Nothobranchius furzeri: one gene and its partner. The protein of the gene in region 1 interacts with the protein of each later gene in a pairwise test. Links are inferred from orthologs where the notes say so. Each region holds a gene or a part of one and is shown in the gene's direction. Other genes may lie near its edges.

Region 1 (4,282 bases):
CATGTGCTAGGATAATGCCTCGGGCTCCCTGATCCACTCTTCTACTACTTAGGATGAAATAATCCTGCATAGTCATCTTAGAATATTATTATAGTATAGTATTATAGTATTAACTGAACACTCTAAAATTTAGAGTGTAAATTATCCCTAAGTGTGTGAGTGTGTGACTGGTGGTTAGTTAGTCGACTAGTAAGGGTTAGGAGTTTGCCTTGTAATCGGTGGGTTGCAGGTCTGAACCATCAGGCTCCATTTGGTTCAGTCACTGTGTCCTTGGGCAACACATTTTACCCTCCTCGCCTGCTGGTGGTGGACGGAGGGACCGGTGGCGCCTGTAATCGGAGGGCCTCGCCTCTGTCAGTACGCCCCAGGGCAGCTGTGGCTACATTGCAGCTCATCCCCCACCATGGTGTGTGTGAATGGGTGAATGACTGATTGTGTTGTGAAGTGCCTTGGGGGGTTGTTGAATCCTAAGAATGCACTATACAAATACAGACCACTTACCATCTCCAGAGCAGCCATGGCTACATGTATCACCATCAGCGTGAATGACTGGACTGTAATGTGCTTTGAAGACCCTGACTAATAAATGCTACACAAACGTGCATTATTTTTATGATTTGTCTGTGTTTCCCTGTGATGGACGGGAGACCTGTCCAATGTGTCGTCCTCTCACTCATGAGTGCTGGAATTAGACACCAGGTGCCTCATTTATAACATTTGGTGTAGAACCCTTACTAAAACCAGCAGCGACTGGTTTAAAAAAACTTAGTGGGGCTATATGTGGAATATTTCCCCTCTTAGTTCGTAATAATGTAATGAAATGAAATCTACAATTCACACACACACACACACACACACACACACACACACACACACACACACACACACACACACACACACACACACACACACACACACACACACACAGAGCTTTCTCCTTACCGATGGGATGGTTAATGTAGGGGGTTGAGTTTGTATCTTTGCGTCTCTGATCGCGATGTTTAAACGCAGCAAAATCAGCAGCCTCCAACAACAAAGCTGCGTCTGAATCCATGTTCAGTTCTGTTTGATCAAATTAAGGGAGGTTGCATAAACGTGTTTGGGAAGCAAGCACGGCGGTGTTTCAGATCGGTGTTACGTCATTTCCGTGTTTTACAATCTGCTCCGCCCACTAAAATTTATTTTACTTTTGGGTCTTTGAAAACCAAAACTTGAAAATAGCTAATAATAACAATAATAATCTTATCTGTACAATGTTTTTTCTACTTCTGTGAATTTGACTAAGAGTCCGGAATGAAGAATACTTGATTTAAGGGAGTTTTTTTTTTCCATTCCGGATTGCTATGATGACTCCTCCTGTTGATGAAACGATACCAAAACAGTTAATTATTTTGTGGGAGTTAAGCTAATTCCTCAGAATACTAAGATGCAGTTGAAGAATATTAACTTGTTTAGGCTGGATTTGTTGATGGTTTGGGTTTAAAAAGCATCGACATATAAATTGAAGTTTGAAGTCAGTGATAAGGGCGTGTTGCTTCACTCTATTGTGTCCGGTGGGAAACAGTTGATCGCACGAACTATTATGCTACGGAAGCAGGTAGGCTTCGACAGAAAAACATAATATTAATCTGTTTACTCAGAAAAATGCAGCTTTAGTCAAATTAATATGATGTAATAGTTTGTGCAGAATTATTTCATACAAACGTCAGCATTTTGCTGTTCGTTTACAATGTGCAGGCAAAGATGATTTGTGTGTTTTTAGCCTACAAGCTAACTCTGGTAGTGGAGAGAACGGAACACTCATCGTCACGCTTTATGGTTTTTTTAAATTTGGGGACGTATCTTTGTTGCATTATAACTGTATTTATTTCTGTGCCACCAGTGACTGAATGACGTGTCCTGTTGTGGTTGAGAATGGCTCACAGTGCAAGGAGAGACTCCCCGGAGTTCCCAGACTTCTCTCTGCTAAAGAGATTGGTCAGAGATCAGCTCATCTACCTATTGGAACAGGTAGGAAAACACGCGCATATACCTGTACCTAGCTTAGATCAGCTGTTTGCCACAAAGCATCAGGTTTAGACAAACGCTAGACAAGAAAAACACCAGAAACCTTTTTCACAAGCACTCCAGTCTGTTATTATAGTGGAAAAATCAGTACAACTGTGTAATGACTGATTTATAGGGCTGACGTAACAGCTGTCACAGTCATTGAAGGTGGTACACCTCTGACCACATCCCAACAATAGCGTCAGAGAATTTTGTGATCTTACCATCAAGTTATGTGCAATTCTGGTATTATAAATAATTGAATCAGGCGATGAACTTTCTGTTGACAAGTTTTTCTAGTTTTGTGTAGAACAGATTGTTGTTATGGCATGTGTCTTATTTCATCACACAGCTGCCAGGGAAGAAAGACCTTTTTATTGAAGCAGACTTAATGAGCCCGCTGGATCGGATCGCAAATGTGTCAACACTAAAGGTAAACCTTATTTCCTGCCTCTGATTTAAGACACTAGCGTTTCCAGTATTTCATAAGACATTTGTCATTTGCTTTGTAGCAACACGAAGTGGACAAACTCTACAAAGTGGAATACAAACCTGTTATCAGCACCTCTGATCAGTGAGTTTTGCTGCTTCTTATGAACACTGCATGGAGTAGCGTACTGTCACTAATCCTGTCGGACCCTCTGACATCGTGACATGACATTTCTTCACAGGCTTTGTTTTCTGATTCGCCCAAGAATACAAACTGTCAAGTGGATTTGTGGTAAGGATAGTTTTTCTTACATCTCAACAGCCTAACAATCTAATACGCTTCCCAAAAAAAGCCACATCATAAAACTGACCTATCACAAGCTCTAAACCATCATCCACTTCAGCTGTTGCACATTTGTTTGAAAGATTATATGTTTCCTTAAGAAGTGCCTTCATTCTAAGTGTGATATCAAGACTCCTCAGACCAGGAAATATATAAACATCTTCTTTCATGTGGACTTTCTCTCAGATACAGAAACAGGTGTTTCATAACTCTGACGCTCCTGTTTCAGATGTAGTTAACGCTGACAAGGCAGCTGGCAGATTTAAAAGATACAAGATCATTTTCACACCCCAGAAGGTACGTCATCCTCTGCTGTTGTCAAGACCAGGAGCCTCATTTATAAAGCTTGCTTACACACAAAACGGGGTCGGAAAACTGCGTAAGCAACTTTCCACGCAAACTTTGGGATTTCTGAAAGAAAACTTAGTGGAAAAATGTGTGCAACTTTAAGTTGACTAAGGGCCTGGCTTACGCACATGTTGGACATGGAGAGCACCTGCAGTGCTGCTGCTGAGAAGGATAAAATTATGAAATCCTGCAGCATTATCACTTGTACCGCTTCGCTTTCACGCAGAACAAGACCCCCCACATGCACACACGCGCACACACACACACATGCGCACGCACACACACACACACACACACACACACACACACACACACACACACACACACACACACACACACACACACACAGCCTGAAGCTCAGAATATGGAATGCAGAATATCAGCAGGGGGGCAGATTGAGACAGAATGTCATGCGTCTGTGACAGTGTGTGTGTCCTGTCATTGTGACCAGATTGATCATGCGCCCTGGCTACTTGGACAGAGGAGATCTCTGTTTGGCTGACTAGTTAGCGCGCGTGACTTTCACCTGGGAGTCTGCGGATCGGATCCTGATCGGATCTTTTTTTTTACATCCGCCACAGATCTCTCTGAAGAATTCACAACATTGACGGCTTCAGCAACGCTGTGCCACTCTGTGGATTTTCTTTTATTTGCGTTGCAAAAGCACTTCCTTTCATTTCTCCACCTCACCCACAAGTACCTCAACTTCTGCTTGTGAAATAGCGCTTCCTTGATCCGCGGTCATGATCGAAATGCTGCAACAGCCGGTGTCGGTACAGGATCTGCTCGGGTGCAAGATCGGCTCGGGGTCCGTCGACTGCCGATGACGTCTAAGTAGTTGATTGGCTGAACATGAACCTCACGGAATTACGTAATCACGTTACGTTGTTATCACATTACGTTGGTCCAGGCAAATCTTTCTATTGGAAAGATGGACAACTTTTACAAAGAAATCCATCATTACCTCTTTGAAAATACACTTTTAGCATAGAGCTGCATGTATATTAGGGCTGAACGATTAACTGCATGTGCAATTAAATTGCGATGTGACAAAAGGAGATTTTCTAATCTCAAAGGCTGCAATTTGGCAGCGAGTGGTTAGCGCAATGCTAATAT
Region 2 (4,153 bases), on another chromosome or scaffold:
CCCATTCCATTCCTGTTATAACAGCATTTAAAAATATCTCCACATGTGCTGCAGTGTCAAATAACACACACACACTCTCTCTCTCTCTCACCAAAATAACTCCCTCCAATACATCACAGATATGTCTGGAAGATTCTTCCAAGCTGCTAGAAGTTGCTGTTACCATGGATACCAGATTAGCTCCTATAGGTTTGATCATTTTCATATCTACACAATAAGAGTTTCATTTGGACGTGTAGTTCCAAGGATGAAGTACTGGGAGACTCTAGTCGTTTATGGTTCCTAGAAACATGGAAGAAAGTGTAAAAAAAAAAGACATATTTTCAGAATAAAAGCCTCCAGAGGCCTTAACATGAATCAGTCTTGTTTTTTTTTAAACAAACATGTCATATGAACCAGCTTTTAAAGTTCTTCTATTCTCAGCAAGTTGGTCATCACTTTCAGACGAGCTTTCAGAGTCTAGCTCCAGCTTCATCAACAGGAAGAAACAACCAATAACAAGAACCAGAATAAAAGGACACACCAACCAATGCCAGTTATTGACGTTGGTGGCATCTGCTCTCTCCTCAACAATCCATCGAGGATCTCCTTCTCCCCATTTGGCCATCACAGATCTCTGAAGTCTGATCGCCGCCGGCTGAAGACCAGTAATCTTTGAGTTTTAGCTCCACTATGACTCTGGAGAGGGTCTCAGGGACTCATCTCAGCTGAAACACGAACCAGCTGCTCAAAAGACTTTCAAAATAAAATCGCACAGGATGGAGTTTAACAAAATAAAAGAAGAGAGCCGAGATGTTTACTACAGTTTTCTTCCTCCAGGTGTGGTTAAAGTACTCAGATATACAGATACTTTACTTTAAACCACTGCTAGAACAATTAAAACTAAAATGAATCATCTATAGTTTACAAACGCAATGTGTATCAACATAGACATTATTTATATACACAATGAAAATCATCAAATCAATAGTTATTTTTAAAAATAAAAGATGGATGGGTTTAATGATAATCTTTGTTAAATGATTGATTTCTAAATGGTGGCGAATAATATAAAAACAATAATTTATTTGAGCTTTCAGCCACAAATAATGACCTGATGGGTAATTTAACAGTATTTATATATTCTATAAATTAACCAAAAACATTAGATAGGCAGGAATTTAAAAATAAAACAGATTTAACAGAGAGCTTCTATGTCTAAATTGACTCTGGGCTGATAAATGATGTGATTTACAATAAAAAATAAAGAAAAGTTAATTTTTTTAAACTTTCGCTGAGACATTTAAGGCTATTTTTTTAACCATTTAAAAACCTAATTTTTTACTACATCTCCCAGAAGCCCTTGCGCAGCCGTAAGTTCCGACTCTTCCGATAGAACGGAAGTAGGAAGAGAACCGCGGCGACTGAAGGTAAAAACATTCGGTTGGTTTTGTACGTTTATCACATTTTTACTTTGTTGTCTTTGAGTTTTCTTGTTCCGGCTTAAATGCTTAATATTTCTGGAGTGATTTTACTTTTCCCGCCGTTTGTCATGTCGGAAAATAGCAGTTAAACCCTGACGTTTCTGTTAGCTTGCTAGCATGCTAATAGATAAAATCCAGCTACTGTGGCAGTAACGAGCCTCTTGTGTCATTATTTAGATAAATATGAATGTAAAGTCACCCCATCAGCTCCAACAACACACAGCTTGCCCTTATAATTTATGTCAATAAACCGGATTGAAACTGTTATTTGTGTCCAGATGATGAAGAGTAAAACAGATGAGGAAGACTATTGGAACAGCTCCAAGTTTAAAGCTTTCACCTTTGAGGATGATGATGATGAGTTCAGCAGGGTAAGATCTGATCTAGTGTCTTCCACACAGCTGTTATGTGGAGATTACTGATAAACAATTTAATCGTAAACAGCTATAAATAATCCAAACCCCCTGTTAAAATAAACATCAAAACATGTGAGTTGGGATTTTTGTTTGACAACCTTAGTTGAAGGAGTCGAGGCAGGCGGTGAACAGCATCTGTTCGCTGGTGGGTGAAGACGATGATGATGATGTGGAGAAGGTCAGCTGGAGCGGAGAACCCATCGGCAGTAAGTCACTAAATCCACCTGTGGATAATCCTGAGCTGTGATTGGCTTCAGGAGGATGATGTGTGGCTTCTGTGTCCCCAGGTATTTCCTGGTCCGTCAAAGAGACGGCAGCATCCAATCAGAAAACAGACAGAGAGCCTGCCTTCCCCAAAGTCACCACAGAGACTTCATCGCTGAACAAAAGCCAGTCAGGACTCTCTCTAAGCTCCCTGTTCAAAGGTGAGACCTCACCGTGGTGCATGCTGGGTAAAAGCCTCGTTATCCTGCCAGAGCGAGGCGCGTCCTCCGTGTTTCAGGAAGGTCACAACTGTTTAATCTGTCTGCAGGAAAACCAAAAGGAGGAAACTTACAGACCTTCACAGACAGTGAGTCTGATGAATGAATGAATGAATTGTCTAATCACTTCACTGATGCCACTAATTTTGTGTTTCAGCGCTCGGCGACTCGTCTGTCAGGCTTTTCGCTCCTGAGCTCCGAAAACCAAAGTCGGAGTACAAGGTAACTGCAGGACTGTAATCTGATTACTGTGGGGAGTCCTCTGTTTTTTCTGATGTCATATGTTTGTCAGGATCTCATAAGTGATTGGTCAACTGAAGAGACGGTGCAGAGACTTCAGCAGGGAAAGGTATCTTACCTGTTTGTACCCATCGGTAGTGACTTAGTCTAATAGTCTTGGTTTAGTACTTTTTACTGTGTTTTTGTACTTCTGACTTGTAATTTTTGTACTTTTCTGCAGGTCGTGTCTCTGGAGAAGTTCCGCTCTCTTCAGGACAAACTGCTGCTGCTGGATTTTGCCGTCGCTGCTCACGACGGAAACGTCATCACGGCTGTAACCAAATTCAGACTCTCTAATCGATGGACTTTGACACCAGTCAGACCAAAGTAACGGAGTTGGATGTTTGTTTTCAGGTTCTGATCTTTTTAAAGAGGACTCTCAGTAAAGGTGAGTAGGGCTCTGGGGTCTCATTTATAAAACATTGCGTAGAATCCTCAGCAAAAAAATGTACTTACACCAAGTAGGTTTGTGACCTATAAGACATGGCGTACGCACAGCTGCACGCAATCTCCGCTTTATAAATCAGAAACGATCTAGAAAGGTTCTCAGCTGCTTTTTAGTCACATCCCACCCTCACCACGCCCACTTTCTGCCATAAATGGTCAATGCAAAGTGCCTTGTAGATCTCATGCATATACATAAGCCGGCTAGTTGCAGCATTTTGATCACGACCGCAGATCAAGGAAGCACAATTTCACAGAAGCAGAAGTTCAGGTACCTGTGGGTGAGGTGGAGAAATGAGAGGAAGTGCTTTTAAAAACAAATAAGAGAAAATCCACAGAGTGGCACAGCGTTGTTGAAGCCGTCAATGCTGAGTTCTTCAGAAAGATCTGTGGCGGATATAAAAAAAATGGTCCAATCGGGATTCGATCCCCAGACTCCTGGGTGAAAGTCACGCACGCTAACCAGTCACCCAGAGGGAGATCTCCCTTGTCCAAGTAGGCAGGCGCATGATCAATCAGGTCACAGTGACAGGACACACACACTGTCACAGACGCATGACATTCCGTCTCAATCTGTCCCCCTGCTGATATTCTGCATTCCGTATTCTGCGCTTCAGGCTGTGTGTGCGTGTGTGTGTGCGTGTGGGGGGTCTTGTTCTGTGTGAAAATGAAGCAGTACAAGTGATAATGCTGCAGGATTTCATAATTGTATCTTCTCAGCAGCAGCACTGCAGGTGCTCTCCATGTCCAACATGTGCGTAAGCCAGGTCCTTAAAACTTAAAGTTGCGCACATTTTTCTGATAAGTTTTCTTTCATAAATCCCAAAGTTTGAGTGGAAAGTTGCTTACGCAGTTTTCCGACCCCGTTTTGTGCGTAAGCAAGCTTGATGAATGAGGCCCCTGGTCCGGTTCTGCAGCAGAGTGAACCGCCGGGTTCTGACTCTGTGTGCTTCATCAGAGGTTTTATTCCGAGAGCTGGAGTCCAGACAGACGGCGCTGAGACATTTTGTCCACTACCTGAGTGAGACCAGAGACCAGAGCCTGCTGCTGGAGCTGCTCAGGTAAAAAT

What was found.
Region 2: the proteins of vps33b (region 1) and vipas39 interact in binary tests that used the Homo sapiens proteins (3 or more experiments, as listed by UniProt). The link is inferred for Nothobranchius furzeri from reciprocal best matches to the Homo sapiens genes VPS33B and VIPAS39.

The regions. Positions count from the first base shown.
Region 1 is NC_091749.1:29,998,206-30,002,487, reverse strand, and holds the start of vps33b (vacuolar protein sorting-associated protein 33B), read left to right. Parts: upstream 1-1,471; 5' UTR 1,472-1,597; intron 1,598-1,882; 5' UTR 1,883-1,914; coding exon 1,915-2,010; intron 2,011-2,398; coding exon 2,399-2,479; intron 2,480-2,558; coding exon 2,559-2,620; intron 2,621-2,717; coding exon 2,718-2,767; intron 2,768-3,047; coding exon 3,048-3,115; intron 3,116-4,282. Other genes in the region: hddc3 (guanosine-3',5'-bis(diphosphate) 3'-pyrophosphohydrolase MESH1), read right to left, coding at 943-1,054. UniProt on the Homo sapiens protein: May play a role in vesicle-mediated protein trafficking to lysosomal compartments and in membrane docking/fusion reactions of late endosomes/lysosomes.
Region 2 is NC_091742.1:15,282,380-15,286,532, forward strand, and holds the start of vipas39 (spermatogenesis-defective protein 39 homolog), read left to right. Parts: upstream 1-1,344; 5' UTR 1,345-1,409; intron 1,410-1,741; coding exon 1,742-1,834; intron 1,835-1,982; coding exon 1,983-2,085; intron 2,086-2,166; coding exon 2,167-2,304; intron 2,305-2,411; coding exon 2,412-2,450; intron 2,451-2,518; coding exon 2,519-2,583; intron 2,584-2,653; coding exon 2,654-2,710; intron 2,711-2,821; coding exon 2,822-2,914; intron 2,915-2,994; coding exon 2,995-3,028; intron 3,029-4,042; coding exon 4,043-4,145; intron 4,146-4,153. Other genes in the region: activator of 90 kDa heat shock protein ATPase homolog 1-like, read right to left, coding at 528-607.